2 linked regions of the Struthio camelus genome follow. The protein of the gene in region 2 purifies or fractionates together with the protein of the main gene of each other region. This does not show direct contact. Links are inferred from orthologs where the notes say so. Each region holds a gene or a part of one and is shown on either strand. Other genes may lie near its edges.

Region 1 (7,739 bases), on a different chromosome or scaffold from region 2:
TTTTTTTTTAAATTTTGCTATACCTTAAATGTCAGCACCTAAGAAGCTAATTGATTCCAGTGCTTTTTAGTAGAGAGAAATAGATGCTTACTGTGTATTCATAAGCTTTAAGGGTTTTTGGTTAATATTCTTGTTTGGATACTGTACTTGTGTTGTCAGTAGTAGTAGCGAATTTATTTAAGAAAGTGACATCACAACTGCAGGACAAAACACTAATTACTATGGCAAACTACAGGTGTTTTTGGGTTTTTTTAGGTTTTTTGGTAACCCATTTACTGTAAACAAACCTGTATTAAATGTGCATATTCCAGTAAATGTTTGTTTAGAAGAAATACAATGAAATGCATTTAGATCAGTTACAGTAATTGAACAAAGATAGACCAAACTGGGGATATCTATTCAAATTTCGGTAACTTTTAGTAGTAACTATATATATGTGTGTGTGTGAGTGTGTGTATATATAGATATATAGATACATATATATGTGCTGTTGTGCGTTCTTCTGTTTTACTACTTGGCTAAGAGTATAATTTGTACTTTCAATAACTTTGTTCCTCTTTAATGAAAGATCAGTAACTAAATTGACTTCCTATTTAGTAGCAGCTGAAACGCTTTCCACGCGGGCTAAAAGGTTTGTCGCATGAATGAGTTGCGTTAGCAATAGAACATTCTTTTTATTTAAAGACTAGAAGACATCATGAAAGCATGGTGCACCCGCAGCTTGTTCGCTATGCTGTAACACTTTTCCCTCCAGAGGATCTTTGTTCCTTTTTGTTATTTAAATGTTCGTGCAGACTCCTCCTATCCTGTCTACTTTGTGTTTAGAGCTGGTGAACCGCAGAAAACTTGGAAGTGACTGAGAGAGGGCAGCTAGAAAACCTGTCTTATGGGACAAATGCGTAATGTGCGCTCTAGGAGCCCTTCTGTACGAAGGGTTATATGGACACAAGGTTAAACAACAAACTTGAGTATTTTAGCTATGGAAGAGTCAAAGTTGTTTAATGGAAGCAGTCTTGTCAGAGCGGATATTTGTGTCATGTACCTGCAATATTTGCTTATGACTGTAAGAAAGTTTTAATGCACTGCTGTTAAACTTTTGGCCATATTTGATCTTACGTTTGTTTTCAGCAGCTGTAAAATAAGTCTTTGTGTCAAACATCTCAATTGTGGGTTTTCAATTTTTTTTTTTGAATAAATAAAACGAACATGGTTTGCTGGCTCTCGCTGCGGTAGCTGCACGGCGGGTTGCAGAAGGCGCCTCAAACTGCCGTTGGATTGACCAATTGCTGTTTGAGTCTGGAACAGGTCTGATATCACTGAAGCAACATTTTATTTATTTAGAAGTAGAATGTAGGGTTTTTTCCTGTTTTCCATGTGTTTTTGAATCACTAGAGATCACTGAAAAGCAAAGAATAATTGAAGTGAAAAATGCAGAGTAGATTCTCGAGAGCAAAAAGTAATGTTAGTGGTGCCCTTCTTGCATGAGCAATGTTTTAAGCCACAGTTGAGCATCTTCTGCTGTTCCTTTCCTTCCAGGTAAGGTAAAAATACCTTACAGTGCTGATGTTTCAAAGCCCTTCACCGAAATACAGAAATACTGTTGTTGCATTTGTGTTTTAAGAAGGGGGATTGAAACATGGAGAAGGCAGTAGACATGGCTGAGGTCACACAGCCTCCTGGAGCAGAACCGTAAGGCCTCCGAAATTGCGGTCTGTGACAGCCCACGCAGCCTGTTAAGAAAGTTTTTGGGGAGGTGGGGGGGTTCACTTTCCGATGGATCCGTTTCCTCCTCAGCGCGAGCAGGAGCGCTGGAGAAGGGAGGCAGTGATGATAGGAGGGGGGTGAGCGCGTAGCAAACTCCCACGGTTGTCTGCACACACGGGCCAGTTTGGGGCGACGACAGGAGCTGCGCATCCTGCCAAGGAAGTGATCTGTCCTGCCAAGGAAGTGATCTGTCCTCGCTGGCTGCCGGGCTAAGGGGAAATAAAGCCCTGACTACAGCAGAAGCCCAAGCAGTACCCTAACGCTTACCCAGTTGTGTCCTGGCTCTTTATTCTTCTCAAGGGATATTAGCCTTTTTTGGCTTCGGTGTTAGGACTGCCATGTGACGGTGTTGTCCGGACGTGGCGTCGCCTCCAAGCGCTCTCTTTAGAACCGTCCCGCCAGCAGACAGCGCTCGTCTTGCTGCTGGCAGATAGATCCTCGATGCGACTTCCGAAGGCCAACGGCGGCGTGGCTCCGTTTAGTTTATTTCCTTCCTGTGTGACAATATCATTAATCATATCAGGAGGGTTATGTCTCTGTGGCTGCTGCGAACTGTCAGAGGAAATGGAAAAAAAAACCCAGGAGAGTGTCTGTGGGTGCTGTAGGAAAAGGACTGAAATGTTTTTATTTCTGTTCTTCGGTGGCTGTCTGGAGGGTAGACTGCTGTGGCGCCATTTGGGTTGGTTCCAAGGAGACGTTAACTTGTCCTAGGCGTCCCACACCCTTACCCCGGTGGGCTTCAGCTGCAGAGTGACTTGGAGAAAAGAAACCGCAGTAAGGGTGAGCGACGGCATCCTGCCGCCCAAAGAGCAGCTGCTGCAAAGATTTTTGTCACTTGATTGGAAGTAAAAATCGAGCACCGTCTATGGTTACTAACCATTTAATACTTAAAGGTTATTGTCTATTTAGGTTTGAATTTGTATTTCCAATTGCTAATGAAGATGAGATTTGCCAGACCGTCTGCTGTGACCAAAAGTTAAAAACCAACCCCCCCGCCCCCAACAAACAAACAAAAAGCCCCAAACACTTCCTAATACTGATACTGCAAAATCTAATCTAGTTGCGTCTACTGCAAAAGCGCTTTAGGGATACTGGAGCGTACTTCCCAGCTAAGAGGCTGAGTGCTTATACACGTCTTGCCACCTTAATAATCAGCTTCAGGTAACAGGCTTCGTATTTTGTTGTCAGGTCGTCAGGTAACTGGAACGACTGTGGTATCTGCGTGTACCTAGTGTGTGCGTAGTCAGGAAAATCTCTTGAGTTTGGCCAATGTAAAATCTTGGGCTGTACGTGTGAGACAAAGCTGTGATGTCTGGGGTAGGCAAATGTATTTGTAAGTTTTGCAAAAAGAATCGGTTAGTATTTGCATGAAAGAAATTTTTAGGAATGGGTAGGGTTCTGGGGAGATGAAGGGAAAAAGCAGGTAAACATATTCAAGTCTGGTATTCTTTCAACAAAAGACTTTATCATTTCCTAAGCTGGGAGTAATGTAATTACGTTTGTGTCTGGAAGAGTTAAATTAGATCATTTGGCATAATTACTTTGTGTTTAACAAGCTGTGTTGCCATTTGGATTTTATATTATGCTTAGACTCCTAGGAGGAAAGGAGGTTAATCACTGGCTGCCAGAAAGAATCGCTATATTTCACTGTTAAGATTTGAACAGAGGATACGTTTCAAATATATCTTTAAAAAAAATCCCATAAAACCTAAGTCTGAGCTCCTGATCCTGTTGCTAGAAGCTGCTAGACACGGGCATATGAGATAAAGAAACAACTTTGGCCTTTTTAAATGACTACGTACTTTTACATGTTTTTGTTGGTAAAGAATTTTATTTGTTTTACATATTCTGTTTTATCTAATCTTGAAGGAAAAGTTGTTCTGCAATTCTGGAGCAATTTCCAAGAGAGTGAGTCACATGAAAAACTATTATACTATGGGTTCGTTGCAAAGCAGGTGCATATTTTTGGTTGATATGGTAGTGCTGTGCAAGTGAGTGAGCGTAGTCTCTGTCCTATGAAGCCTCTTGCTAGGGAGAATGCAATTGCTTAATAAAAGCTGAGGTTTTTTGGAGCAACTTTTCATGTTTGCTTGTCAGATGCAGACAGTGGGGTAAGGGAGCTGCTGCTAGGGTGAGTGACAGCCGAAGCTGTGTACAGAAATGTGTTTGCATCTTCAGTAGCAAGTAATTTTTATCAACATGGTAGCATATTTGTTTTAGCATAGTCAAAAAGATATCTAAAATTGACTTAAATACTTCGGACTTATTTAAATGATATTATATGAAAACATAAGCTTGTGAGATGCTGTGCTAAATAACTAATTCCAACTGTTTGTTTATTTGTAATGTAGAAAGATGTCTATCCTGCTGATGGGAAGTAATCGCTGTTAAAGATGTTAGTAGTATTATACTTACAGGCATCTGCTGTACAAAGCAGTCAAATAAAAGGGTACTCCTGAAAATATGTTGTCGTCTGAAATCAGCACCAGGATGCGTGTCTTTGTAATGAGTTTTATGTAGCGTTACCTTTTTTCCTGAAAAGATAGTCAGGTGCATGTGTGTTAAATCATACTTAATTTACATGGAGAATTTTGGTCTGTTATTGAAACAATTGGAGTGATGCCAGACATGAATTTGGCAATGTAACTGTAGAGCCAAATCTGATGACCCATTATATGAGAACAGATTCCCTTTAATTGTCTGGCTTTCTTTGAAAGACAGATTCTTTCCATAGTCGTTCATTTAATTACCTAATTTATGATTTATAAAGTAGAATTTCAGTAAAGTGAGTATTCCGTTTTCTTTCTTTTTTTTCCTCTGAAAATAATCTTGACTAAAAAAAAAAAATGCCATGAAGTTGCCTGTAAACTTGCTTTTCTTAATCGACATAGTCTGATTTTCTTCTGTAAAGTGTGTTTGCAAATGGTGAAAGACTGTACTTTTTGCTGTATTTCAGTGCCTGATGACCTCTCCATAGAGGAAAGAGAAGAACTGCTAAATATTCGTCGCAGGAAAAAAGAACTGATTGATGATATTGAGGTAATTTATCTCTAAAAATTCTTACAGGACTGCTTCAGTAGATTAAGTTACAGTACACTGCAACACTTCCCTCTACCTAGTTATGAACTGCAGGTAATGTTTTCAAAAGCATCTAAATGGCTTAACCTAAATCTTACTAATTATCAAAAGGATTTATGCAGCATTTATGTTTTAAAAATGCTAATATCTGTATGTAATGTAACATGTGCATATGTAAATATTCTAGGTTAGTGTAATATCTCATATACAGTAGTTTTGTATTCAGGGTAGCAGTGAATGAGAAATCTGAGCAAAAAAAAATTATATTGAAATGGTTAATGTTTCTTGTAGTGGTAAAGAACATGAAATAATGTGACATTGAAGGTAAGCAGATGAATAATAGGTGTAAAATCTGTATTCAGAACAGAATCTGAAAAACAGCTTTCGGAAGAGGATTTTTTGATTGTGGTGTTCCGACCTGGGCACGCACTGGGAGTTAAGATCCACGTGTTTAACAGTGATTCAGCTGTGGTCAAATTAAAATCTTTAAGCTAAGAATCTCAGGAAGGTTCACTACTTTTCTTCAGATGACTAGTAAATATTAAAAAAAAAAAAAAACTAATTGATCATAACCGTATATGCTAGCCAATTTCAAAAAATGCTTTAATGTTGGTTGACTTACTTTACTTCCCTCTCTTGGCAGAGATTAAAATTTGAGATAGCCGAGGTTATGACAGAAATTGATAATCTGACTAGCGTAGAAGAAAGGTAAGTAATGCTAACGATATGGGAATGCTTCAGTAAGATGTTGGAACAGGTCTTTCAGGAACAGCAAATACAGATAGCTTTATTATGTTGAACAAACATTTGATCACCTTTTTTCACTCTGTTATAAGGTCTTATCCCATTCAGATGTGTCTTTGCTTTGGCTAGAAAGTGATAGATATATTGGATAGAGTGTGATCCTTTCAGCTGTTCTATTGATAATGATACAGCTCTAAAGCTGTGATCACTTAAAATAATTTAAAATTGTAACATATTTTTCCCCTTGTGAAAACTAAATGTCTCAGTTCTGTAATTGAAAATACAAAAGTAGCCAACGGTCAAGTTAAGAGGTTCGTCCAGAAATTATCTAAGAGCAAGGGATAATCTTTTTGTTTCTTCCTTTTCTTTTTCTCCATATGAAGCAAAGCTACGCAAAGAAATAAGCAAGTAGCTATGGGAAGGAAGAAATTCAACATGGATCCTAAGAAGGTAGAGCATGTGTTTTGTGTGGTGTTTTTTTTGTTTATTTGTTTGTTTTTTAACTTGTCAGGACTCAGGTTCCTGCTAGTGATGTGATTTGTGGCAAATATAGACTGTTTTCTTTAAGAAATCATGTCTGATAGCGTTAAATTCATAGGCCTTATTTGTCTATCCTTTAACATACTGAGCAGAGGGTTAAATTAGGTGCAGTCGTTTGGTCATTTGCCAGTCATGTATGCTTTTTTCACTCAAGCAGACTTTTTTTTGATAACAGAAAATATTATCAAAGGTCAAATATGCCAGGTATTGAGTTGGCTTGCAGAAAGATTATTTACACCTGATAGAGGTGTTTTGTATTGGTATGCTAAATGTAATTATGAAAATATTTTGAAGTTTGGTTACTAGCTAGGCCATATGTATTGTCTGCCCCCTATTTTTTGTTCTTTTAAGATATCGATAATGTTTTTCAAAATTTGTTCTCACATAGACTCTTATATTTGCTTATCTAAATTCTGTTTGTGAATAATGCATGTGTATAGATTTGTATGCTTATATATGCACGCGTGTTCACACATACATATATACGTACCTGTACCACTGGTAAGTAGCCGCAAGTGGATACTTGGTTATCAGTTTCAAGAAGGCTACTGTGCGTTAGCTGAAAGGTAAAGTAGTTCATTGCTCCGCTGAATAGCGGTTTTACCTTGAGAATTCCGTGACCTGCTCATTCTCTTGTAGACTTCCCTCTGATATATTACAAAAAAAAAAAGTGTTGCTTTGATATATTTGACTTGGTTTCCTAGATTTCCCCTTTAACCTTTACTTTTCATTTTGGAGCTTTCTTGCTTTATGTTTTACTGCCTTCTGTTGTTTTCATTAGGATTTCATTTTGAATTTCTGAAGGATCTTTAACAACTCTTTCAGAATTTTTTAATAAGCCTTTGTTTTCCTGTGTCTGTTCTTGACATGTTTTCTTTCCAAACGTATTTAATTCAGTTGTGTTTTGGTGGCTTTTCTGTGATGTTCCAAGTACAATAATGTCGACTGTTTTTTGGGGGCTATTTTCAACTTACCATAAGCACTCTAGTGTTTTGTGATACAGAACTTTTTTTAAGCCATTGACCATGTCTTTTATTTTTCTTGTCTGTTTTGGCGACTGTCTGACTTTGGTTCTGCTGAGGGCAGAATATCCTCAAATATCCTGATATGTTGTTTTCTCCAGCTCCTTTGCCTCCTAGAAGTTTGTGGTAAAATCACAGAATGATGTCAAATATTTTCGTTGCAATGTTAGCTGGTCTTTATTGGTGGGTGAAATTATTTCTATAAATAGATGCTGTGGCCACATTGCTCCTGTAACATAATTTAAATGTGGTGAATAGACTTACAGTAGTAATTCCTTAATGATGTCTGTGAAGCAGTGGTGGCCTGCAAGAGCTGGCTGCTCTAAAGCTGGATCATCTCTTTGTTAGCAACTGTTACTTTGAATTATAGGCAGCTAAAATATATGTCCTTCTGATGTTTGAGAGAATTAACTTGGAATCACTGTGGAAAAGGACTTTTTTTTTTTTTTTTCCTAAATGGGAGAGAAAATGGTCTCCATAGACAGGAATGTGAAAGAAATGGGATAACAATACGTGTGTTGAATTCCCCAAATTCTCTCCTTTAAAAACAAATAATAAAAAAGACATCTAACACATTCTCGTTGGCAAGAA
Region 2 (7,945 bases):
CTACTACCAGCTCCACAGGCACATCAGGCTGGGGAAGGGGATGAGGAACTCCCACCGGATCATCTTCACCATCGTCGGAGCCTTCATCTGCTCCTGGCTGCCCTTGAATGTCTGCAAGGTGTTGCTCTTCTTCATCGCGAAGGGGATGCTGGTCCTCTCCGAGGTGGAGGAGGAGGCCTTGAGGTGGGTCGTCACCAGCAGCACATGCCTGGCCTTCATGAACAGCTGCGTCAACCCCATCATTTACACCCTGATGGATCGCCATTTCCGGCGCCAGCTGCTGCCCCCGGCTCTCCGGGTGCTCTGCCTTTCCCCCGCAGAGAAGGGGCACAACATGGCCACGACGTCCTCTGTGACCGAGTCCAGCCTCATGTTCGGCGTCAGGACCAAGCCGTCCGCACCGCCGGGGCGCTGGCCAGCAGTGCAAGAGGAGAAGGATTGGGGGCCAAACGAGTAGGTCATTTGGGGAGGGCTGAGCTTGAGCAAGTGCCTGGGCTTGTCTACCTTCCTCATCTCTTCAAAGCATTGCAGAGAGAGAGCTGCGGGGCTGAGGGAGCGCAGGATGAGCCCTTTCTGGGGGGGGGGGGTTTCCTGGCTCCAGCACAGCCCTGCGCCACAGATTCGGATGCGTTTCCAAAACAGCTGCTAAAGTTGGTCCCGGCAGGTGAAGCTGCAGCTCCCCACACCACGGGTTCGGATGCTTTTCCAAAGCGGCTGCTAAGCTTTGTCCCTGCCGACTTCCCAGGGCCTGCCCAGGGCATCACCGGGGCCAGGCAGATGCCGTCGCAGGCGCAAGGTGACGGTTTCCCAGAGCCCAGACCCGTCCCTCCGCAGCCGCCATCATTTCAGACCTGCTGTGTGATTATGAGCTTAATTAAACCAAGCAGCCTTGGGTTAAAGCCATTGCGGGTGGCATCAGCCCCAGCACGTGGTGCAATTCCTTGCATCGATTCCACTAGCTGCTGAGTTTGTGTCTCGCAGGGCTATTGCTGCTTTTGTGGGATTGCCTCTACTTCTCAAATATATCGATAACACGGGCGGAACAACTGCAGCTGTGATCATACAACCCAAAACGGCAGCACTCTCTCTCTGTTAAGTAATCGTATGATAAAATGCTCTTAATAAGCTTAGCAGGTTAAAAGAAATAAGCTTGCAAGCAGGAATCTGCGTGCCCACTTTCAGCATTGATTTCGGTCTTATGAACAGCTATTTTTATAGCCTGCTTGTGGAATAAATATGTTTTAATGCTCAGCTGTGGTTCAGAGAAGCTTTGCCGAGACCGGGGCAGATGTCTATGGGAACCGCCGCTTTCGGTGGTGGCACTTGGCAGCCTGGCCCCGGGCCGCTTGTGGAAATTTTGAGCCACGGTTACTCGATTAGAAACCATTGCGCCGGGCTTTTTGAGACGGGCTTTCTGCAACCGTGCCCTTTCTGCCGCGGCTTTCCCGCGCCCGCCGATCCCGGGCCCTGGCCGACGCAGGACGGCCACCTCCGCCGCCTGCCTCCTAAATGCGCCGCTTTGCAAAATGAGCTGCCGTTTCCCAGCACACAGCCCACGGGGGACAGCCGGGGTGCCCGGGCGCGGGGACACGCGCTCTCGGAGGCGGCCGACGCATCCCGGCCACCTCCGCGCTGGCCCCGAGCGTGGGCATCGATGGGAGAGCAGCAGCACTGAGGCCGCAAGCGTTTCCCTTGCCTTCTCGCCCCGCGTTTTCCCCTGCCAAACGGCTCTAAACCGTTTTTCTTCCCGTTCACTTTCTCGCTACGCGGCGCCCCGCACTGCCAGGGTTTCCTGCCTTGACCCCCTCGAAGGGGAATAAAATACCATCATGCCAATGAAACAGCAGCATCCACGAGACACCCTCGGAAATGCCACCGTGCGCCAGGGACAAGTGTCACTGCTGGCCCACGTTTACCGTGTGAGTCCCCCCCCCGGGACCTCGGCGGGGGACGAGCCCTGGCAATGACACTTTCTGGGTGCATTTCTGCTGTTTAAGGCCGTTTTGCCCTGGGCCGTGCCCTCCGGGGTGGAAAAACCCAGCGGGGTGCGAGGACGCGCTGCCGCCGGCCACCAGCGCTGGCCAGGCTGGGCCGCGGTTTGGTTTCTGATCTCTGCATTTGAGTTAAAAACAAACAGAAACGGCTTCCCCCCGCTCATCAGAAACCTGGGCAGATGTGTGCCAGCCCCGGCCGCACCAACGGCCGCGGGTGACTCTCCCACGATGCAGGCGACAGGCGCTAAATAACACCCCCCCCGCCGGCTGACCTCGGCCATCCGTTTCCTTCCCCGCCGCAGCCCCGCTGCCCGGCACCGGCAAACCCCCCGCGCGGCCATGCCCGGGGCGCTACCTGTGGGGCAGAGAGCCGTGCGCGCCGAGTCCGGCTCCGGGAGCGAGCGAGGTGTTGCTGCACGGTTCCCGAGGGATGCACCGGCGTCTCCAAGCGGTGAGCGGATAAGAAAACTTTGGAGATTTGCAGCGGGAGCCCGTGGCCTTCGTGGGGCAGCTCTGCTGCCTGCACCCTCTCCTGCCTGCACCTCCTCTGTTTGCACCCTTGCCTGCACCCTGCTTGCACCGACTTCCCCTGTGCGTACCCTTGCCTGCACCCCAGCCCGCAGCCGCTTCCCCTGCCTGCACCCCTGCCTGCACTGCACCTGCCTGCACCCTCTCCTGCCTGCACCCCATTACCTGCACCCAACCTGCACCCTCTCCTGCCTGCACCCCCTTACCTGCACCCAACCTGCACCCCTTTACCTGCACCCCAGCCTGCACTGTGCCTGCCTGCACCCCCTTACCTGCACTCCCTTACCTGCACCCAACCTGCACCCCTTTACCTGCACCCTGCTTGCACTGCGCCTGCCTGCACCCTCTCCTGCCTGCACCCCCTTATCTGCACCCAACCTGCACCCCTTTACCTGCACCCCTGCCTGCAATCAACCTGCACCCCCTTACCTGCACCCAACCTGCACCCCTGCCTGCAATCAACCTGCACCCCCTTACCTGCACCCCTGCCTGCACCCAACCTGCACCCCCTTACCTGCCCCCTGCCCGCCTGCACCCAGGGGAGGGGAAGGGAAGCAGCGCAGCTCCCTGGCAGCACCCAGCGCTGCCCTTGCAGCGGCCGGTCCCCGGGGCTCCCGGCAGCCCCCGCCGCGCCGCACCGCTCGCCGCCCCCGGCGTCGCACCCACGAAGCACCGGCATGTCGGAGCAGGCCCCGGCCACACGGGCTCAGCTCAGGAGGAAACTCCCTCCTCCTCCTGCTCCTCCTGCTCCTGCTCCTGCTCCTGCTCCTGCTCCTGCTCTGCAGGCAGCAGCGATGCCGGGAGGCCCCCGCGGCGCCGGCAGCCAGCACCTCGCGGTCCTCCAGGCCCACCCGCCGCCCGGAGCATCCCTCCCCGGCGCCGCGGGCTGAGGCAGACTTTCCATCACCTGCCCCGGCTCCCGGCGACGCAGGATGTGGCTGGCGCGCCGCCGCAGCCCGCAGTGATTCATCCCGCGCCGGCTGTGAGCTGGCAGCAGCGCCGATCCCACGGGCCCCGGGGCAGAGCCGGCGTTCACCTGCCCCCCTCTCCTGGCCCTTCCTCCCTCTTCCCGGCCCCTTTTTCTCCCCGTGTGCTGCCAGCAGCTTCGTCGCGATGAAGACAACGGTACCCATGGCGATGCTGTGCCGTGCCATGTGATCCCATGCCGTGCCATGCTATGATGCACCGTGCCGTGCTGTGCCATGCTGTGCCATGCTGTGCCATGCAATCCACTGCTATGCAGTGCTATGGTGCACCATGCTGTGCCGTACTGTGCCACACTGTGCCATGCAATCCCATGCTGTGCCATGCCATGCCGTGCCATGCTATGATGCGCCATGCCGTGCCATGTTGTGCCATGCAATCCACTGCCATGCATGCACAGTGCATCCACTGACTATGATGCACCATGCTGTGCCATGCTGTGCCATGCTGTGCCATGCAATCCCATGCTGTGCTGTGCCATGCTGTGCTGTGCTATGCAATCCACTGCCATGCAGTGCTATGATGCACCATGCTGTGCCATGCTGTGCCATGCCATGCCAGGCCATGCCATGCAGTGCAGTGCCATGCCATGTCACGCCTTGCTATGATGCACCATGCCGTGCCGTGCTGTGCCATGCCATGCTGTGCCGGGCCATGCAGTGCAGTGCCATGCCATGCTGTGCTTTGCTATGATGTACCATGCCGTGCCATGCCACGCTGTGCCGTGCAACCGTACGCTCTGCTGCGCCGTGCAATCCATCGCCGCACCGCGCTGTGCCCCCGAGCCGGCACAGCCCCCGGCCCCCGGCGGCGCGGGGAGGGCAGGGAGGTGCCGCAGCCCCGGCTCGTGAGGGATTTCGCCCGGGAAGGTGTTGCTCACCTGCTCCTCCCCTCTGACTCAAGTCAAAACAAGTCGCCCGGTTTCCCAGGCGCGGGCAGAGGCGGCGAGTGGCGGCCGAGCCGGCGGCGCCCGGCCGGGCCGGCAGCTCCAGGTAAGGCATCGCCTGCGCGGCTGCGGCCCCCGACCCGACACAACTGCGCGAGCCACGCCGGAGCCGGGAGCCGAGCGGGTGCAAAGCCGCAGGCGGCTGGCGAGGGGGTGACGCTGCCTCTCCTCCCCTCCGCTCCCCCAGGCCACGACGGGTCCAGCCTCTTGCCGGGACGAGCCATTGCCGGGTGCCGCCGGCGCCGGCGCCGCCGGGGACGCGCTGGGGAGATCAGAGCGTCTCGGCACCACGCCGAGCAGCGAGGGTCCCGTGGGGAGGAGCTCTTGGTGCCCGATCGCCCCAAGGTTGGCTCCGGAGAGATGGGGGGAAGAGGAGATTGAAACGGCCCGGCCGAGGTGTCTCCCTCCTGTGCTCCAGGGAGGCAACAGGTACCCCCAAAACAGGGTTTTTTGGAGATCACGCAGGAGAAACGAGGCTGCTCATGGCCCTGCTCCGGCCTTCCCAGTCCCTGGGGAACTTTGCCCTGGACCGGATATCTGCCCGACACTGCCCTCCAGCTCGCGCGGCAGAGACACGCGTGAGGCCTGCGAGGCCCGGTGCTGTGCTGGCTCCTCCAGCCTCTTCCCGGGGGCTCTGCGGGAAATGGGGCGTCCGGGGGGGGGCAGCAGCTTTCCCACATCCCACTCCTGGAAAAACGCCTCGCCCTCCGCGCGGGAGGGAGCCGGGCGCCCGTGTGAACCCGAGGCGGAGATGAAATAAAAACTGGGAGAGGCGCCCAGCGAAACCAGCCGGGGTGGGAACGGGACCGTGACGGTCCCACGTGCCTCCCCCGGCCTGGCCGGGCTCCGGCATCCACGGGACCCCCTTTCCCGATCCGGACACCCCCCTTGGGCTGCGCCGGGGCGAAGCCGGCCTTTGCACGCTTTTGTTTATCGTAGGACCTACAAGAAGGCCGGCAGGCAAAGCAAACACTGACTCGCCTTCCTCCCCCGCAGCAACAAAGCGCCGCTCGCCAACCGGCGCGACGGGGTGGGAGGGGGCTCTGTGGCCCCGCAGGATACGAAGTCCGGCCGAGAAGGAGCTGAGCGGTGGGTCGCCGCTGAGAAACGGGGCGCCCGGCCTGGCGCTGCGGGGTGCCGTGCGTGGTGGTGCATCGGGAGGGAAACTGAGGCACAGGGGGGGCTGGGGGGGGTGGCTGCTCCTCCGGGAGCAAACTGCCTCTGGCCCCGGAGAGCTGCCGCCGGCCAGGGGCTAAGGGTGCGCGGGGGGGTTGCACTTGCGTGTGCAAGGCTGGGCAGGGTGGGGAGGTGCACATGCATGTGCAAGGCTGGGCATGGTGGGGGGGGTTGCACATGCGTGTGCAAGGCTGGGCAGGTTGGGTGCGTGGGAGGTTGGACATGTGTGTGCAAGGCTGGGCAGGGTGGGGGTGCACACATGTGTGCAAGGGTGGGCAAGGTGGGTGGGGTGCACATGTGTGCAAGGCTGAGCAGGGTGGGCGCATGGGAGGTTGCACACGTGTGTACAAGGCTGGGTGCATGGGAGGTTGCACACGTGTGCAAGGCTGGGCATGGCGGGGGTGCACATGCGTGTGCAAGGCTGGGTGCATGAGAGGTTGCACCTACATGTGCAAGGCTGGGCATGGCGGGGGTGCACACACGTGTGCAAGGCTGGACACAGTGGGGGTGCACCCGCGTGTGCAAGGGTGGGCACAGCGAGCGAGGGGTGCACACATGTGTGCAAGGCTGGGTACGGTGGGGGTGCACACGCGTGTGCAAGGCCGGGTGCGTGGGAGGTTGCACCCGCGTGTGCAAGGCCGGCCACGGCGGGGTGGGGGGGTCCCCAGGCGCGTGCGGGGCCGGACGACGGGCTCGGCGCTCCCGCGCAGGTGCCCCGGGCCGGCATGGAGCAGGCGAGCGAGACGGACAGCGGCGCCCCGCGGCGCTCGGGTGAGCGCGGCCGGCCGAGCGCCCCCGCCGCGACGGGCGGGTCGGGGCGAGGAGCCGGCCCCCGGCCCGGTGCCAGCAGCTCCGCACGACGGGGCGGGGGAAAAGTCGACAATTGGGAAATTCGGGATTTCCCCAGGTCGGGGCGAAGCAGCCGAGCGGGATGGGGATGCGGGGGGGGGGGGGGAGTCCCCGCGTGGGGTCGGGGCCGGGGGGGACACGGCGATGCCAGAGCCCGGCACGCCCCCCCCCCCCCCCGGCGCCGGCGGGTTTCGCTCCGGGGAGCGGCTGAGTCAGAGCGAAACCTGCCGCCGCCGCCGCCGGCTTCGGAGCATCCTCCTGGCGGCGGGGCGGCGGGGGGGGGGTCGGGGGGGGGGTCGAGATTTAAAAAAAAAAAAAAAAAAAAAATCACAGCTTTTCACAGCGCGGCCCGAGGGGACCCGGCGGCTCAGCGCAAGCGGCGCCGGGAGCTGGAGGCCCGGCTGGAGGTCTGCGTGCAGGAGCTGCGGCGCCTGTGCCTGCGCGAGGCGGTGAGCGGCGGCGGGCGGTGGGCGTCCGGCCGCGGTGCCCCCCCGGCCCCGGCTCAGCTCTCCCCGCTCTGCTCCAGGAGCTGACGGGGATTTTGCCCCGCGAGTTCCCCCTGCAAAGCGGCGAGAAGCCCCCCAAAGTGCGGCGGAGGATCGGCGCCGCCTTCAAGCTGGATGAGACCCTGGTCCTGCGCGGGGCGGTGAGACGTCCCCGCTTGCCCCCCATGTACCCCCCCCCCCAAAACCCAGCCTGGCCTCAGCCTTCGTTGTCACGCCGGCGCCCCTTCCTCCTCCTCCTCCCCCCCGGCCGCGCGCCGACGGGGTGCTCAGCCCCGCGCGGCCGCCCTGGGCACCCCGGGGCGCAGCCAGGTTCGGGGTGGCGGGTGCCGAGCAGCCGTCCGTCCTTCCCCTCCCTCCTCCACCCGCCGCCCTCCGCCGTCCCCAGGACCCGCTGAGCACCCTGGAGCGGGACCTGGCGCTGCAGCTGCAGATCGCCGAGGCCGCCCGCCGCCTCTGCCGGGAGGAGAACATCGGCAAGCAGCTGCGCAAGCGGCGGAAGAGCGCGGCGCTGAAGGAGGAGAGGAAGCTGAAGGAGCTGGAGACCACCCTGAACGAGTGTCGCCTCCGGGCCGGCTGCCGGCCCCTGCCCACGAGCGGCGGCACCGCCGCCGACGGTGAGCCTGCACCCCGGCGCTCGCGTGGCGTCCGGCCCCGGCGGTGGCTGCTGCAGGCCGGGGGACTCGGCACTGTCGTCCCTGGGGACTGCAGGCCGGGGTGCTGGGTGCCGTGCGTGCACCCCGGGGTGCCCTGGGAGGATGCGCCCTGCTGCACCCTCCGGGGCGAATGCACCCCGGGGTGCCCTGGGAGGATGCGCCCTGTTGCACCCTCCTGGGCAGAAGCACCCCGGGGTGCCCTGGGAGGATGCGCCCCGCTGCACCCTCCGGGGCGAATGCACCCCGGGGTGCCCCGGGAGGATGCGCCCTGTTGCACCCTCCGGGGCGAATGCACCCCGGGGTGCCCTG

Evidence for each region. The genes of interacting proteins can lie anywhere in the genome.
Region 1: the proteins of INAVA (region 2) and CYTH3 purify together in Homo sapiens (co-immunoprecipitation; 3 studies listed by BioGRID and IntAct, counting the BioPlex papers as one, with this or other methods). This does not show direct contact. The link is inferred for Struthio camelus from reciprocal best matches to the Homo sapiens genes INAVA and CYTH3.

What each region holds. Positions count from the first base shown.
Region 1 is NC_090956.1:9,140,556-9,148,294, reverse strand, and holds the start of CYTH3 (cytohesin-3), read left to right. Parts: upstream 1-4,686; coding exon 4,687-4,803; intron 4,804-5,485; coding exon 5,486-5,550; intron 5,551-5,969; coding exon 5,970-6,036; intron 6,037-7,739. UniProt on the Homo sapiens protein: Promotes guanine-nucleotide exchange on ARF1 and ARF6. Promotes the activation of ARF factors through replacement of GDP with GTP. Plays a role in the epithelial polarization.
Region 2 is NC_090965.1:4,025,754-4,033,698, reverse strand, and holds the start of INAVA (innate immunity activator protein), read left to right. Parts: upstream 1-4,841; 5' UTR 4,842-4,881; intron 4,882-5,405; exon of another isoform or gene 5,406-5,448; 5' UTR 5,449-5,541; intron 5,542-6,338; 5' UTR 6,339-6,353; coding exon 6,354-6,399; intron 6,400-6,810; coding exon 6,811-6,926; intron 6,927-7,003; coding exon 7,004-7,123; intron 7,124-7,368; coding exon 7,369-7,597; intron 7,598-7,945. Other genes in the region: GPR25 (probable G-protein coupled receptor 25), read left to right, coding at 1-457. UniProt on the Homo sapiens protein: Expressed in peripheral macrophages and intestinal myeloid-derived cells, is required for optimal PRR (pattern recognition receptor)-induced signaling, cytokine secretion, and bacterial clearance.